2 linked regions of the Styela clava genome follow. The protein of the gene in region 2 binds, or shares a complex with, the protein of the main gene of each other region. Links are inferred from orthologs where the notes say so. Each region holds a gene or a part of one and is shown on either strand. Other genes may lie near its edges. The genes, in order: ankyrin repeat and SAM domain-containing protein 3-like and ankyrin repeat and SAM domain-containing protein 6-like.

Region 1 (7,839 bases), on a different chromosome or scaffold from region 2:
CCTATTTTTTTTAGAAAAAATAGCATCAGAAACATATGAAGTGGGGCGTCATCTCCGCAATGGAGAAAAGCAATCGAAATAACCTGGCATTTAGATATATCACACGATTCACACCCACATATCATGAATATGTATTACATTAAAAGAATTTTAGAATGACGAGACATGAGTGCATCCCCCATATTGACTTTCCCAGGAAATAATCGATGTCCCAACATTGTCTGAAGACCACAATCCTCTCTTTGCCTTTAGTAGTGCAGAATATTGAGGCAAGTCATTTGCACTTTAATTTTACAAAAGATCGAACCCCAATCAGTACCTGTACATTCAGACACTTGACCGAAAGCTGAAGTGTCAGATATTCAGAATATTGCTTTATCGGGGCACTCAGGATCCAGGGTCTACACTTGTACAACTACTAGCTTACCTGCACTGTGACAAATTCCCTTCCATATTGACAAACTTTGATGAAATATTCCCGATTCTTCAAAATTATCAATACCTTGCACTGCCATTTTTGAATATTGCCTTGAATCCGGAAATTGCTATTGGCTGAGTTTTTGTTAAGTTTTATGTAATTACCGAAAAGGGTGAAAACTGAAAAAGGTGATAAGTTACATTAGCTTTATAACAGCATTTAGCATGTTTGGCAATTTATATTTCAGTATTTCTCAACCAAAATACAGGAATAAAATTACATGTCTACATAATAATTGATACTACACTTATTTCGATATTTCCATACAGACTGGGAGGATACTGCACTTATTTCGGTATTTCCATACAGACTGGGAGATGGTGATACAGCCTACAGCGAAATGACCAAACTAAGGTAATCAGAGTCGGCCACTATTAATTCAAGCCAGATAATTGTGCGAAAAAAACAAAAATGTCCCTTACTTCCCTGATTGGTCAACTGATAAATTAAAAAATATATGAAAATAAATCCTGAAATCAATGTGCACTCCTAATGCACCAATACTAATAATGTAATGGCAAAAGGGGTACAGTACAGGCAAGACAAAAAAATAGTAGAAAATTAATAAATAGATATAGCCTATAGAGAACTCCATAATTAAAAACGGAGAATTCTGGAGCATCAGAACAACTTTTAAAACAATTTGAAACATGAAAATATCATGTGCCCGCTAACCAGTTCACACACAAATCTAGTTAAACCACGCTTGGGCCCAAAATAAACAAACAAAATACGACAAAATACAAAGATTGTATTGAACTTTCAGGCTGTTATAATTTTAAAACATATAAGCTGATATAATGACCAATTCAATCTGATACAGTATTTGACTTATTTCAAATGTCTTGGAAGGATGGAAATATAAAATTCAGTTTTTAATCTTTATGAAACTTAGAACACTGATGTTGTTAATTATAGTAATGTTCTCAGTGGTATCATGATTAACAGAAGATATTTAGCATCAAACGTAAATCTTATTAACCGCTAATATTATTTTGAAATCGAAATGATCAATTGATCATTACAAAAAAAACCTTCCACACCAGGGTACTGACACTGACTGATATCAGCATAGCCATATATACAGATATAAGACAGGATTTACATATTTATCCCAGGGAAGAGGAAAGTCGATGAGACCGGTTATTCATATGGCGAACCACGGCCTCTCGTCCAGCTACCAGTCCACATTGGGCAGGGTTTCCCAAACTGGGGTCCGTGATGACTGCACAGGGTGGCCGCAATGATATGAACGATGAGTCATGAAACACATAGATTTTACCATATATCCACTGTCAGACAGACATTCGTAAACGAGATAAAGTCATAAGTTCATGCAATCACAAATCGTTATTGTTGGGGGTGAAAAGATGTTGTAGAACGATTCTTACTTTTGGCGTCTATGAGGTAGACCTCCGTCACAGGGCTACATCGTTGGTAATAATTGATTGAATGGGTTACTGAGTTATCACCAGTCGATAACTTGTACGACTTTGCTAAGACATTTGAGCCTGTTACCGTTGCTGCAAGGAAGGAGGGGCATCTTATCGAATTGCCATTGGTCTACCAGTATTATAACTTCAATATGTATTGAATCAGGCTTTCATGAGTTTTATTTCGTCAAAGGAAACATCATCTTTTCTCGTTAGTTAGACAAAGAAATTGATACGGCATAGGATGGGGGTCCGTCACAAATAAAATTCACAAACAGAGGTCCGCGGCCCAAAAAGTTTGGGAAACTCTGATATAGGGTATGCTGGTATAGGAGTAGTTAGCCAATTATTTGTTTTCAGATGCATGGACTTGATGGTGGAGGAAGCCATAACCTCCCAGCGGATACGGGAACCACCCTACGGCAGCGAGGAGTCCAGCAATCCTCTCGCATATAATAAACCCCACATGGAATTCGAACCCACGCAGGGTAATCAGAGGTGCGGTGGCGTGCCAGATTGCAAGTTACGTCAGTACGCAGGTACGTAACGTAAGTTACCCTATTATCGCCACTCTTTATTGCAATCCATCCAAAGACCACAATACTTTTAAGTACAGAAGTACCAATTTCTCTATATTATACCAGAACATTAGCTACAAATTGGAAAAAAAAAATGCCAACAACAGCGAGTCGCGAAATGAATTTGTTGATAGCCTATGCATGTCTGTTTGCATATGACAGTATGATTGTATCTAGGACGCTTCACACAAAAGTTATCAGTATTATTAGACTACATGGAAATCTATTTTTAAAATAAATTGTGTCTGAGTTGGCATGCATGAATAATTATTGTTTATTACTCACCCGTACCGGTACCGGTATGTCAGTATGGGCTGACGGACAACTCGACTACACGGGTAGTCGAGTTGTCCGCCTCCCTCAGTATGTACCGGTACCGTACAGTACTATTAATAAACTTCATGGAATTACCGGTACTTCTAGTCAAAATTTGGCATTGGAAAACTGATTAATCACATAAAATAAAGAATGCAGGTACCGGTACCAGGTACCGTATCATAGACCTGTAGACAGATATAACACTTAAGTTAAGCTTTAACTCACTCATATTTGATGATTCTCGATTCTCAACAAATAACTTATATTTCCAAGTCTGCAAGTTGTAAGGTTCAATTGTAACTGCAGAGCTGTATAAACTTTTTTGAAAACAATTTAATACATTTGTCCAGGGATGGCCAATACCGAATAGTTCACTATTTCGAATACATTCAAAATTATTATTTTCGAATATGAAATTTCGAATACTTCGAAAATAAATTCAAGTAAAATAAGCTTATCTTGGTGTATGTCAGTATTTGCATACAATAAACAATGGAATAACCGTTATCTACAAGCTGGCTACCAGAAAATTTATACCCGCTGTTGACGTGGTATTTCAAATTTATTTTCAAATTTATTCAAATTTATTTTCACAAAAGTAATCCTTTCATTTTTTCGTAGGACGGCGCAACCATGAGTTAGGCTACGTTGAACGCAATTAAATTAATACCGCAAGACATTTTAAATTCTGTTATCAGTCGTCGATTTATTAAATAAGTCAATACTTTTACCTATCATTATCAAAACTATTTGCCGGAAGTGGGTAAAAGTATAAATTATTTTTGTGAGTATGAAAATATAAATTAAAAATTAATTATATTCCGGCATTTTACCACACATATTTCCACAGATTGTCGCATTATTTTAAAGTTGTAATGCTTTTGTTTTTCGTATGTACAAAACTGGGAATCGAAAATTAATCATAATCAGGTAGTTACCACACATTTTATGTCCACAGATTGCCGCCGTATCTTTTAGAGTAGTTATGCATCAATTTATTCGTAAGGTCGACGTAACTATGAGTTACCTTAAACACAATTAAATTAATTCGGTAAGACATTTTAAATGCTGTTGTCGTTCATGAATTTGAATATTTTGTCGCAACGGAAAATCATCCTAGATAAAAGTCCATACTTTTAATTATCATTATCAAAAGTAGTTTCCTAAAAGCGGGAAATAGTATAAATTATTTTTCCACGAGTACGAAAATACAAATCAAAAATTAATTGTAATCGGGCAGTTTACCACACATTTTATGTCCACAGGTAGTTGTGGTATTTTAGAGTTGTAATAGTTTTTCCTGAGTAAGGAAATAGGAATAAAAAATTTATTATAAATGGGGCAGTTTACCACACAATTTATGTCCGCAGATCGCCTCAGTATTGAATAGATTAGAATAGATAGATTAAACAAAATTAAATTAATACGGTAAGGCATTTTAAATGCTGTTATTGTTCACGAATTTGAATATTTTGTCGCAACGGAAAATCACCATAGTATAAAGTCGATACTTTTTGACTATCATTATCAAACTTATTTGCCAAAAATCGGGAAATAGTGTAAATGATTTTTCCTAATAAATCAACTTGTTTTTTCCGACCTGCGACAATTTATTGGGTGTCGTAATTTGTAACAAAGCGTACGACTTTATTTAACTTATTTAATATCTGACTTACTGGTAATGGATTTATGTGAGACTCGTGACTCGATACAAATGAATGCGTAAATTAGAAGCCTTGCAAGGGAATGGCAATAGTGCCAATCTCACAACCGTACAAATGTGTTGCAACAATATGAGGCGAATGCTGGCACAGAAGATAACAAACAACTTAAGCGCCGATACTATTTCACCGTCATTACAAAACGTGACAAAGCGCGGAAAATCGTTTGAAGAGTTCTCTTTAAAACGAAACAAAACTCCTTGCTGACGGCGAAAAGTGGCTATTATTCGGAATTATTCGAAAATCAGCCGAAAAGGTATTCGAATACTTTGATATTCGAATGTTTTCGAATATTCGATTCGTTTTGGACAACCCTGCATTTGTCTGCAAATAATACCGGTATAAAGCAGCACGGCATGAAATCTAGTAAACACAAACATAATAATAGTGCCTGTTCAGATGTTAACGGTACCGGTACCGTACCGGTACAGCTTACCGGTATCACATTTCTGCATTAACGATAAGATAAGTTAATTTCAGTACCGTACCGGTACCGTTACAGCTGTACAGTACCGGTACCGTATTCAGACTCCATGATTAGCATAAAAGGCGATTAAATGATTGATAAAAACTGATTACAGGATTATGAAATCAGGAGAACAATCAAAACCTTGGATAACTGGATAAAGTTTAACAGTATGGGTACCGTATCGTACACCTCTGTGAAGCTACGAAATTGTGACTGACAGAATCGCAGAAAATACCCACGCGTAAAAATAAATGTTCCCAATGATTTTCAAAAGAAAGTGTATATTTTGATTAGTTTCACAATAGCAATTAAAGCAAAACAATCATTAATTACACTCCTCGTATTGTTAATATATAGTAAACAAGCTAAAGCGACTGTTACAGTGCACAAAATTTTTTTATAATTCTTTGAGAGATGTTTAAAAATGACTGAATTTTCGTCGTGTAACATGGTCTTTTCATGAAAACCTCCAATAAAGGCAGCATTACAACTAGGGTTGGATTATCCGGATAGCGGTTAACCGGATAATCGGTTAACCAAGAGGTATTTTGCTATCTGATATCCGGATATTATTGTAACGGTTAACCGGATACTAGAGCAGTATAAATAATGCATATGCGCATTAGGTATTTTTATATTTTTTGTTGAGTGGCCACCAACGACTAACATACCGGCCACTGACATCTGTCAGAGCATATAATAATCACTTATATCCACACTACTCGGCCTATATTTTAGTCATCCGTGTAATGCTGGAGTGAACTTGACTATAGTATTACATCACAAAACACGCAGAAAAATGTGATTATTGCGTATTTGCGTTATAGAAGAGCCCGACTTACCTTAAAGTAAAAGCATTTCTACTCTAGATATGAAAATAAATGGTTATCTGCACGAACAAATCCAATTTGTTATTTTAGCGATCTTGAAAATTCATCAAATTTGAGCTGTTATTGCAATTCCAATGAGTATAATTTATTAAGTACAATAAATGCAGATATTAATTAGCTTATAGCGTAAATATATACTGCTTATAGTTATATATCAACATTTTCGAGAGAAAAGTCGGGTTCAGTCTCAACGGTATATAACGCCGATAATTGTTTTATTTCGCCCGGAACTGAAATGGCCGCAGTATGTTATCTATCGTCGTATCTATCTATCGTTAAGAGAGTAGATCTGAAACACACATTTTTGACTGAAAATAGGGAAGTGAATGCTAACGAAAATACCACGACTCTTGTTTTATCAGCCAGTGATAGATAAAACAAGACTGTTAGGCGCTGTTGAATCGCCAAAATTTCGTAATAAGGGTAACTTTTCACGGGATGTAACTTCTTTTCAAATCAAAACTGGCATAATGCCGATGTTAATTCCCCAAATAATCACGCGACGCGGAAGAAAACGATCTGCGATGATAACAAAATTAGCCTGTAAAATTCGACCGCCTTTATTAGTGACGTTTTCGAAAATTTCAAAAATAGGAGGAAAGGCTGTTATTACATTTATGGTTTTTATGGAACTTTCACAAACAAATTTGTTTGAAAATTGATCTATAATATTTCAGCAAAGTTTAATTTGACAGACTCTGTATCGTGTCATGTTTTTCGTTTACTCATTTAGGGTGGTAGGTAAAGTTGTTCAAAAACTGGCGCAGCATTGTTTTGGTTCTGTTAATTTAGTTTAAAAGGTATTCGAATGGAAATATATTTAAAGTTGTGGCCTAATTAGTACAAACGTGAGAATATTTACAGTGGCATGTTAAATGAGTGAAGTTTTCAAATTAGAAGAAATTTCTGACCACTTCGGTTTTTTCATAATCATCAATTTGCTTTGTTATTAAATTTTTTGTTCAAATTACTTATATTTTCCTATACACTTCACGTAATTTGTCTCCCCTATATTCTATTTTTTTTTGGATACTTCTCTCACCGAAATAAAATGTTCGAAATGCACGATTTTCTGTGTTCATGATTTCATTTATATGTATGCTCTTGTGGTATATATTAACAAAGTTTATTTCGTCGTGCAAGAAATCACAAAATATTATAGAACACAAAATACTATACATGACAATATTAAATTTCATTGCAATTGATAGGAAGGTGCGGATGATCAGAAATGATCATTGTGAGTGTGCGACACTAAAATTTAGTACGAGTCAAAATTTAAAGAAAAGAGGATCTAGACACAAAAAGAAACTTTTAAAAAAAATTAACAATAAAGTAGAAATAATATAAATCTTTACATATTATTTGAATAGGAGAAAATAACTTAGCAGTCGGGGGAAAAACAATTAGGACACAATATTTTCAAAAAATGTTTCATTTTATTATTCCGCTGTACATCGGTACGATTACTGAGCCCAAATTATTATTTATTGACACATGCAATATTAAAATGCACAATCATTCTTAGTCAAGAAAAATAATACATATGTGAGTATTTACAACAGAATTGTGTGGTGGTTTTTGGTCAATTCACCGCGAAAATCCTGCGAAATCGGTTCTCTAAAATCAGCAGTAACTATCCGATTAACCGGATATTTAAAATACGCAATACCCGGATATATCCGTTATCCGGATAGTGAAAATTATAGATATCCGAACTAACCCTAATTACAACACCATTGGTGAAAAGTTCAATATGTCAGTTCGATTTCAATATGTCAGAAGTCTTTTTTTAAACACTATTTTCTTGTTAAATTTAGTGTACATCTATTTTCGTGCCAATATTATATTTTGATCAGCATTTCAATTTTCATATTTACCTATAAGTGAACACTATATGCGCGTGGAACCTATATTCAATGTGTAAAAATATTCTGGCTAAAAGTGCTGCT
Region 2 (8,196 bases):
TCTGAATAACAATAAGCATTGGCAAACAGAGAATATGGCACATTTGGTATAAAAAACAGAAGATATTTAGTCATAATGAAATTAATTAAGAGATAATTGTTAGATCATAATCAGCAACAAAAGACTTCTGATACCTAGTACCAGTATATTTTAAAATCCAAAATTATAGCTGAAACTTTTTAAATCCACAAAAGTGCACAGTCAGAGTCATTTTTAATACAAACAAAGTAATACTTCACAATGAAGGCAATATAAAAGAAGCAACAAAGAGTTTTGTGAATCAGTGATGTTAAAAGAGGTTTTGAATTCCATTCAATGGTTAAGTAAATAATCATTCAACATATGATGCTTCTGAAAGAAAACATAACTTCAACTATAAAAAAGCAGGGTTGTTTAACCTATGAAACTTTTATCAGGACTGTAGAGGATATGAAAACAGAAAAAAAAGTATCACAATTGTAAATTTTCTATACTAAAAATATGGCATCATTGTGGAACATATACATATAGGAAGCTCAAATATATAAATCAAAATTGTGTATACATTAGTCCAAAAGAACATACCAAAGTCAAAATTGAGTGCAAGCTAATATTGATATGAAACTTTTTTAACAAAATATTTTTTAAATCATGATCCTGAACGAGGCTTAACATTAGAGTAATAGCTCCATGATGGAGGTTCAAACTGCGTTGAACTACTCGATTTCTTACTTGAATTTCGTTCTGAATCACTAGTAATACTATATGAATATGTAGGAATACCTCCCGGTTTTTTATAGTTCTCTTTTCCTTCACTTAAATGGTTAATTGCTTTCAGAAGTTGCTGTCTTGGGAATTCTTGTGTTATTCCAAGAGACCTTAAATCACCATTTGTCATTGTAAGAAATGTATCCATGTCAATTTCCTCTTTTTCAAAAATTGGGTGGTAATTTTCAAGAGAAAGTTTCTGAAGGATAACAGATAGTTCATCATCTTCATTGAATGAAGTTGGTCTTGATACGGGCCTCGCACGTCTCTTCTTTTTATGACTATGAGTAGAATCGGGGGATGACATTCCTCGACTTCCAGATCCAGTGTACCTAGATCGCATTTTATCCGAGTGAGTCTGAGGTTCTGGACTCCTTGGAGGAGTCAAAGTTGAGCTTGTACTCTGGGATGACACAATGGATACTCTACTTCCCATGCGTCTGTGACCATGAGTCTTTTGGTGGGGTTGGACTGATAGTTGTTCCGCAGATATGGATCCCCTTATTCTCCCACCACTTGCATTCGAAGAAGTATCTTTCCTTTGTTTCATTTGGGCCATCTTTGAAAGAACAGTGTCAGAATATCGATCACCGGATTGTTTGTGCGGATTATTTCCATGTTTAGGCAATGAGAAGCTATGCGTGACATCACTCGCACCACCAGAAGAATGTGGACTACTGCCAGTGTTTGAACAACCTGAATTTCCTGGGCTTTGCAAGAACTTGACAGGTTTAACAACACTACGACTGACAGAGCTTTCACCACTACTATTTAAACTTGCAGACATTGATGTTCTCGAACCTAGTGTCTTTTTTTGTGAATTGGTGTTGTGTCGATCAACTCCCGCTGTTGACTGAAAAGGAGGCTGAATAAGAGCCAATTTCTCTTCAGGCAATCTGGACTTTGGTGCACTGTGATTTGTCATGCTATAAGGATCCGCTATTGTTACACTGTTGCCATGTGAACCATCTTTTTGATCACATGCGTCATCACCAGATGCTATTAACGTACTTTCAAAATTATCCACTTTATTGGGATTCTTGAATGTGCTCCGAAAAGTACGAGTCAGTTTAATATTTTTAAATGGCTTGCCTAACTTAGACCACATGCTTTTCTTCTGTGTACCTTGACCTGGTGCTTCCTTCTGTCTATCATCAGTAGCTTGTATTTCACACGGTACAGTGTTTGCCCAGGCCATAGTAGTGTTTGTTAATTTGCTCGGTACAACATCTCCTTCTACTATTGTTTTTCCATTTGCAGCTGATGAATTACTTGTCTGCATAGCATGTTCTGCAAGTAATCTGAAAAGACTTGTAGGTGCATTGATTAAGAGTGCCATATCGAAGGCAGTTATATTATTTTTGGCTCTACATCCCACATCTGCATTCAATCCAATTAAGCACTTGGCAGCCTCAACTTTACTGTAGTAAGTTGCTTGCATTAGAGCTGTCCAACCATTTTCATAATCTTTGGCATTAACGTCTGCTCCATTTTCAACGAGCAATTTAATCATTTCTGTTTGTCCAGTAATAGCTGCATACATGAGTGGTGTGGCACCATCAGTTGTTGTTGCATTACATTCATCTTTGTGGTTGATTAAAATTTCTTTGACTTTTTCATAATCACCTTTTTTAACAGCAGCTATGATTTTGATACCTTGATCATCAACTTTTTCAGGTTTATCTGTCGTTTTTCTATCTAGATATCCCCTAATCTCCCGTAGTTCACACTCTGTGGCAATTGCAAGAGCTGTTTTTTCATGCCGGTTTTTACGATTTGGATCGCAGCCTTTATCAACCAATAAACGAGCCATGGGTAGTTGTCCAGTCATCGCAGTCACCATCAGAGCAGTCCAACCTGTAGCAATATGCCTTTGGTCAGCTGGCACTCCCCATCGCAATAAGGTACGGAGCAAATCATCCCTGCCACCCAATGTTGCCACCATGAGAGGAGTAGCAAAATGGAGAGTATTTTCAACACAGTCAACAGTGAAGTGATTTTCAAGTAAAATCTCCACAACCTTGTTATGACCCCCCTTCACCGCTAAAGTCAAGGCTGAAATTCCCATCATTGTTGTTGTATTAATATCCGTTTTGCTGTTTAGCAAATGTAATACCACACTTTCATGGCCATATCGTGCTGCTTGCATTAAAGGTGTCCAACCGTATAGATTTTTTCTATCAAGTGCAGCACCTCTAATTAAAAGAAGTCTGACTATGTTTTCATGACCATTTGCAGCTGCTATTTGTAACAAACTATTCCCATCTGCATCAGTGGTTTCAACTGAAATATCTTGATCCAAAATTGATTGAACTTTGTGTGTGTCACCATTTTCGACCGCCAACAGTAGATTTTGAATAGACTGAGGTACATTACATAGATCATACATCATAGAAACTATCAAGAATAAGCCCTTTGAATGTAAACAAACATGATGTATATTTTACTCAACATCTTATTTTTTTGTTTTATCAAGTGGTTCACACTTTTATTGTGAACAAGGCTCTAGACGAGAAGAAACTGATATGTAAGAAACTACTAATTTGAGAAGATAGAATTTTTCTATATATGAATATGGAATTGCAGTATTATGCAATAAAATTTTTAACCAACACGCAGAACTGTCCAGTTATTTATAATGTTGACCTGCATTTCACATACTGACATATAAGATCAAAATAAAAGAGAAAACTCCAGAAAATAGGACAAAACTTGAAATATTGTTCATTAAAGTTCCATTGGCAGTTGGCATTGAGCTTTGCATTAGTATCAGTTCATCGCAACTCAGATTATTCTATGTGGGTTCACAACCACAGGTTATGTGCATGAGGATTATTGGACTCCATGGCGACTTAGATCCATATACATAACCGTTGGTCTTGGTCCGTTATGGCTTACTCTACCATTAAGAAGAACTGGTTAACTATTCCTAGAGGGGAAAACAACGAGCTGAAACTTAATATGCTGATAGAGCAAGGATGGGGAACAATGTTCCCTCTAATTTTTTGTCGTGTGTGTGCGCAGAAATTTTGGTGTGTGCACACTTTTTTGGAAATGACTAATATTTGTGCAAAAACCAATGAAGAAATTTTGGCGTTCTAACCGGGTAATAAGTGGGCCAACAACAAACTTTCTCAACCTGCGAACCGAGCACATTGTTACATTACATCGAAATACGTCTGTGCGCAGTAAATCTATGCGGGTGCGCAGCCTCTGTAAGCTGTGTGCGCGCGCACACCTTAGAGGGAACACTGGTGGGGAATTACTTTCCTGAGTGGGATGGTTCCAGAAAATAGACTTTCTTACTGGGCTGAAAAATCAATACGAAACTATGAATAAAACAGTTTATTTAGAAAAAAAAACTAGTTTAACAGCTAATGCACAAGAACATCTATTGCACCAAGTGGCACAATGATTAATGGGGCTGATGTAGCCTACTGCAGGCGTCCGAAAGCTTTTTTATACTTATTCCTTAGGTTTGAATATGTTAATAAAGGAGATTTGTTTTTGCTTTTGTTAATCTGCATACTTCAGAACAATAATTCGGAAGCATGAATATAAATTCTTGAGTTAGGTGAAATCTGGTTCGTTTTATATAATATATTTAATTATGGTATTTATTTTAGTGAACAATTCATCATTTTCATCGATATTTTCAACAGAAATCGATATCCACAAAACCTGTAGTCGTAAGTTAAGCAGACACAAGTGGGTGGGCCCAATGAGACACTTCGGTGTACCGAATCCGGCACACGGACCTGATGGTGGAGGAAGCCAAAACCGACCGGCCATCATGTGGACCACACTACGTACTCTTAAAGAGTTGGTATGCACACAGTATTAATATTAAACATAAGCATAGTTCATTCTGGTAGAGCATCTTGGACAAAAGCACACAAATAAAACGGGAAAACATTTAAAAATTGGACAAATCCACAATGCCTGAATGCTGTAATGAGGTTAAGCGTAGCATCCATAACGTTTTTAATGAGATATAAATGATGAAATATTGCACACACAAAATTACCTAATCATACAAACACTCATAAAGCTGTAGTCAGGTAGTTGATTGTGTTCATCCTGTTCATCATGGAAAGTATTGATATCACATTGTCATGCAATTAGATAAACAATTTTCAAAATAGTTTTTTTTATATAAAGTATACTAAGTAAGATGAAAGAAAAGAAGAGAACACATTAAATATATTTCTTTTTTAAAGATATTAAATTTACTACTTACAGTACTGACTAAAATATAATTTTTGAGTATTTCAAAATCTTTAACAAAATTAGTCCAGATGATTTTATTTTTAAATATTGAGTCTCCAGCTCTATGTGATTGTTGTTTTTAGTAGTTAACTAAACGAATCTCTCGAAGTCCACAGAAATTTTTGAAATTTATAAGTGAAAGTAATAGCCTTCTGGTGAAAAAATCAATCTTTAACCACTGAAAATTTCGAAGAAATTGGTCCAGTACCGGTATTCGAAAAGAAAAGCGATTTTATCATGACGAAGAAGAAGAAAAACAAGAACCAGAAAAACAACATAATATTGAAACGATCGTTATGTCCACTGACGTGTCCAATAACAGAATTTCTTTGTAGCCAAATTATCGCTACGGGTATATGCCTGGTCATTCGGTCATATTAAGTAAAAATCTTAATCTTTCCTACGGCTAGTACGGTACCTGTACGTACAAGTACCTGTATAATCTAGTATTATACAATTTAATAATACTCACAGTATTTCAATAAAATCAAAAACGTAATCAAAATATCCACAATTCATGAATAGGCCTAGATGGCTAACAAATGCATGCATTCATCTATTTACATGCGCCGACATTCTGTACGGGCTTTGCTTCTCAGAAGTCACAGACGCGCAATTTTCATTAATCCAACAATGTTAAACAAATAGCTAAATCAAATCGTAAATGCTTTGTGATAAAATCCATTCAGGAATTCAATCTCGTGACACTGGAAACACAAATAAACTACGGTACCGTATCTATCTATCTATCTACAGATCTGAACACCTCAACGTGTGGACAATTAGCATATATTAAGGAACCAGAACAGCATTATCGCGGGCTGTTATTATGAATTTATGAACATTGGTCTGTTGACCCTTGACGTTCATTTGGACAAAGGGACCCATTACATTTGCACCTAGATAAGTTGCGCCAGTAAGCACCAGGAAGTTTGCACCTACATACTATGGACCTTTCCCTGAGCATCGACTTCCTTGTTTACTTCGTGACATTGGCCAATCAGCAAGATGCAAAAAGTGATGTAACAATGCTCCCTTTTCGCATCCGCTCAGACACTTTTCTCACTCAGACAGATTTTCAAGCGTTGTCGTAAACATCCCCTTGTTTTCGCGTTTTTGAACTCTATTCGTTAGTTTTCTGATGTGTTTCGCAAACTTAAATATAAATCAGATAGTTCAATGATCACTCTTTCTTTCTTGGAGTTTTAGTTTAAATGCAGTAATGAAACATTAGTGTAGAAATAGGTGTGATAGACTAGGCTAAAATTCTTTACCGGAACTTTTAAAAAACAGATTGTTGTATGCGATAAATCATAATATGGTTTGTAATACATACCCCATTTTACAGGCGCCAACTCGCAAAAGCACTTTTGAAATAGCCCCGAAAATTTTGCAATGGTAAAGTATAGGAGAATTTTGTCGGGGGTCAAAGTTCGAGGAAAGGTCCATTGCACCAATGACATTAAACAACATGATAGGCAACTCTGACGTCACTCCATAAGACTACAGGCGAAAGATTGTATTTCATGATACGCTCCAATGCACATATTTCTCGTCGCCTTTCGCGTCCGTTTTCCGCTAGCTTTTGCTACTCGGCGTCTTTTTTACGTGTAGTACCTGCATTTTTGCGCCTGTAACAAAACAAAATAATCTCTATATCTAAGAAGTTTTGCTCACTTAGAAAGCTGGAATGGCGGGCACGCTGTAAAGAGCAATTCTGGACATCATAGACGTTTTTTTTATCAGAGAAGATTACAAACGCGATAGCGGAAAGATTTGTGTGGAACATTTTGCAGATAATGACAAAGTTCAAAGTTAGTAATTTTAATGTTTGCGCTTAATCATTGAAATTTCATTTAAAGAGGGTGTCATACAAAACTGTGCTGTGATACAATTCCATAACACAAAGTTTGCACCTATCGAACTTGCTTTTGTAGGTGAATTTATTAGACATATTACATATTCAGTTAATCGTAGGTAACATTGCTGGAACATAATGCATCGTAGATAGGTTTGTTTAAATTTAGGAATTTAGCTCATAGCCCACTAATTAATATTATCTTCTATGCAGGAGGTTGCAGGGCGGCTGAATTCAACTTGCAGCCTTACCGATCACCTGACGATGCTCATTTAGTTTGGCTCGAGCAAGTCTTCTTGAAATGCTTGTGTGGATGGAAAGTGGAAACTACCTATATTTTTTGCCTTCCTCCGATTTTAGACAAATTTATTCTGAGGGATTTCGCATATAATTCTCATTGATTGTTGGCTGTTTATAATTCCTATTGATTGTGAATTCTGATTATAACAAAGAGTTAAAAAAATTTTTACCTAATTTACTGGCACCTTTTCTTGTCAATACTCCAAGCTGAGGTAGTAAACAAGACAATACATTTATGTCATCTGGAAGCAAAATATGCACACTAATTAATAGTTTGGCACATTGAGATAATACATCATGACAGAAAATACAAGTTAAAGATATGTATGACCATTACATGGTAATTAAAATTATAAAAAATTAATAGAGGCTGTGGAGTATGAAAAGTCCAAGACAAAGAAAAGAACAAATGTTCATAGCTCATGAACTCTCAATTTTGCCTCCATTTCTTTGTGAAGGCCAATATATTTCGAGTGGCTGAATTGGTTTACCTTTATGATAGCAACGATTTTGTATTTAATATAGCGAGATTATTTCAATTTAATTGAAGTGATATTATTTCCCAAAGCAATGCTTGAATCGTCTAGAATAGATCAGTGGTGTCAAACTCATGGGTTTTCGAGAGCCGCATTGCATTTTGGAAATTGTAAAAAGGGCCGCAAACAGTTTTTGATAATGAATACTTGAAAGATATTTTTAAGATAGTTTTAGTTTGTGACATATATTGTGATGCAACTAAACAGTTGGATTAAGTTTTATTATTTTCTTCAATTTCAAATGCAATTACATATTAATATTTGCATTCCACTATTATTGCAACATTTGCAAGTTACTGTATATATTATAAAAAATCATAAAATTCTATGTACAACGATCAAAATCATTTTTGAACAAGCTTTGGATAAGGAAAGAATAATACATACACTAAAAATAACTTAATCTAAATATATGAACTTAAAATTAACAAAAATAATACAGTATAAACTCAACGTTTTAATAATAACATTTGTCCTGACGTTTGG

The links.
Region 1: the proteins of ankyrin repeat and SAM domain-containing protein 6-like (region 2) and ankyrin repeat and SAM domain-containing protein 3-like are in contact, whole or in part, in a crystal structure (PDB 4NL9), measured with the Homo sapiens proteins. The link is inferred for Styela clava from reciprocal best matches to the Homo sapiens genes ANKS6 and ANKS3. Residues at the interface, in NP_775822.3 of Homo sapiens: Glu796, Gln797, Glu798, Val799, Asp800, Glu802, Ala803, Thr806, Leu807, Asp811, Glu814, Leu815; in NP_597707.1 of Homo sapiens: Lys441, Tyr442, Thr470, Leu471, Phe472, Gly473, Pro474, Arg476, Lys477, Arg484.

The regions. Positions count from the first base shown.
Region 1 is NC_135251.1:30,860,069-30,867,907, reverse strand, and holds the start of ankyrin repeat and SAM domain-containing protein 3-like, read right to left. Parts: upstream 3,155-7,839; 5' UTR 3,033-3,154; intron 2,778-3,032; exon of another isoform or gene 2,002-2,777; 5' UTR 516-2,001; coding exon 428-515; intron 1-427. UniProt on the Homo sapiens protein: May be involved in vasopressin signaling in the kidney.
Region 2 is NC_135250.1:12,182,821-12,191,016, reverse strand, and holds the start of ankyrin repeat and SAM domain-containing protein 6-like, read right to left. Parts: upstream 3,178-8,196; 5' UTR 3,140-3,177; coding exon 629-3,139; 3' UTR 1-628.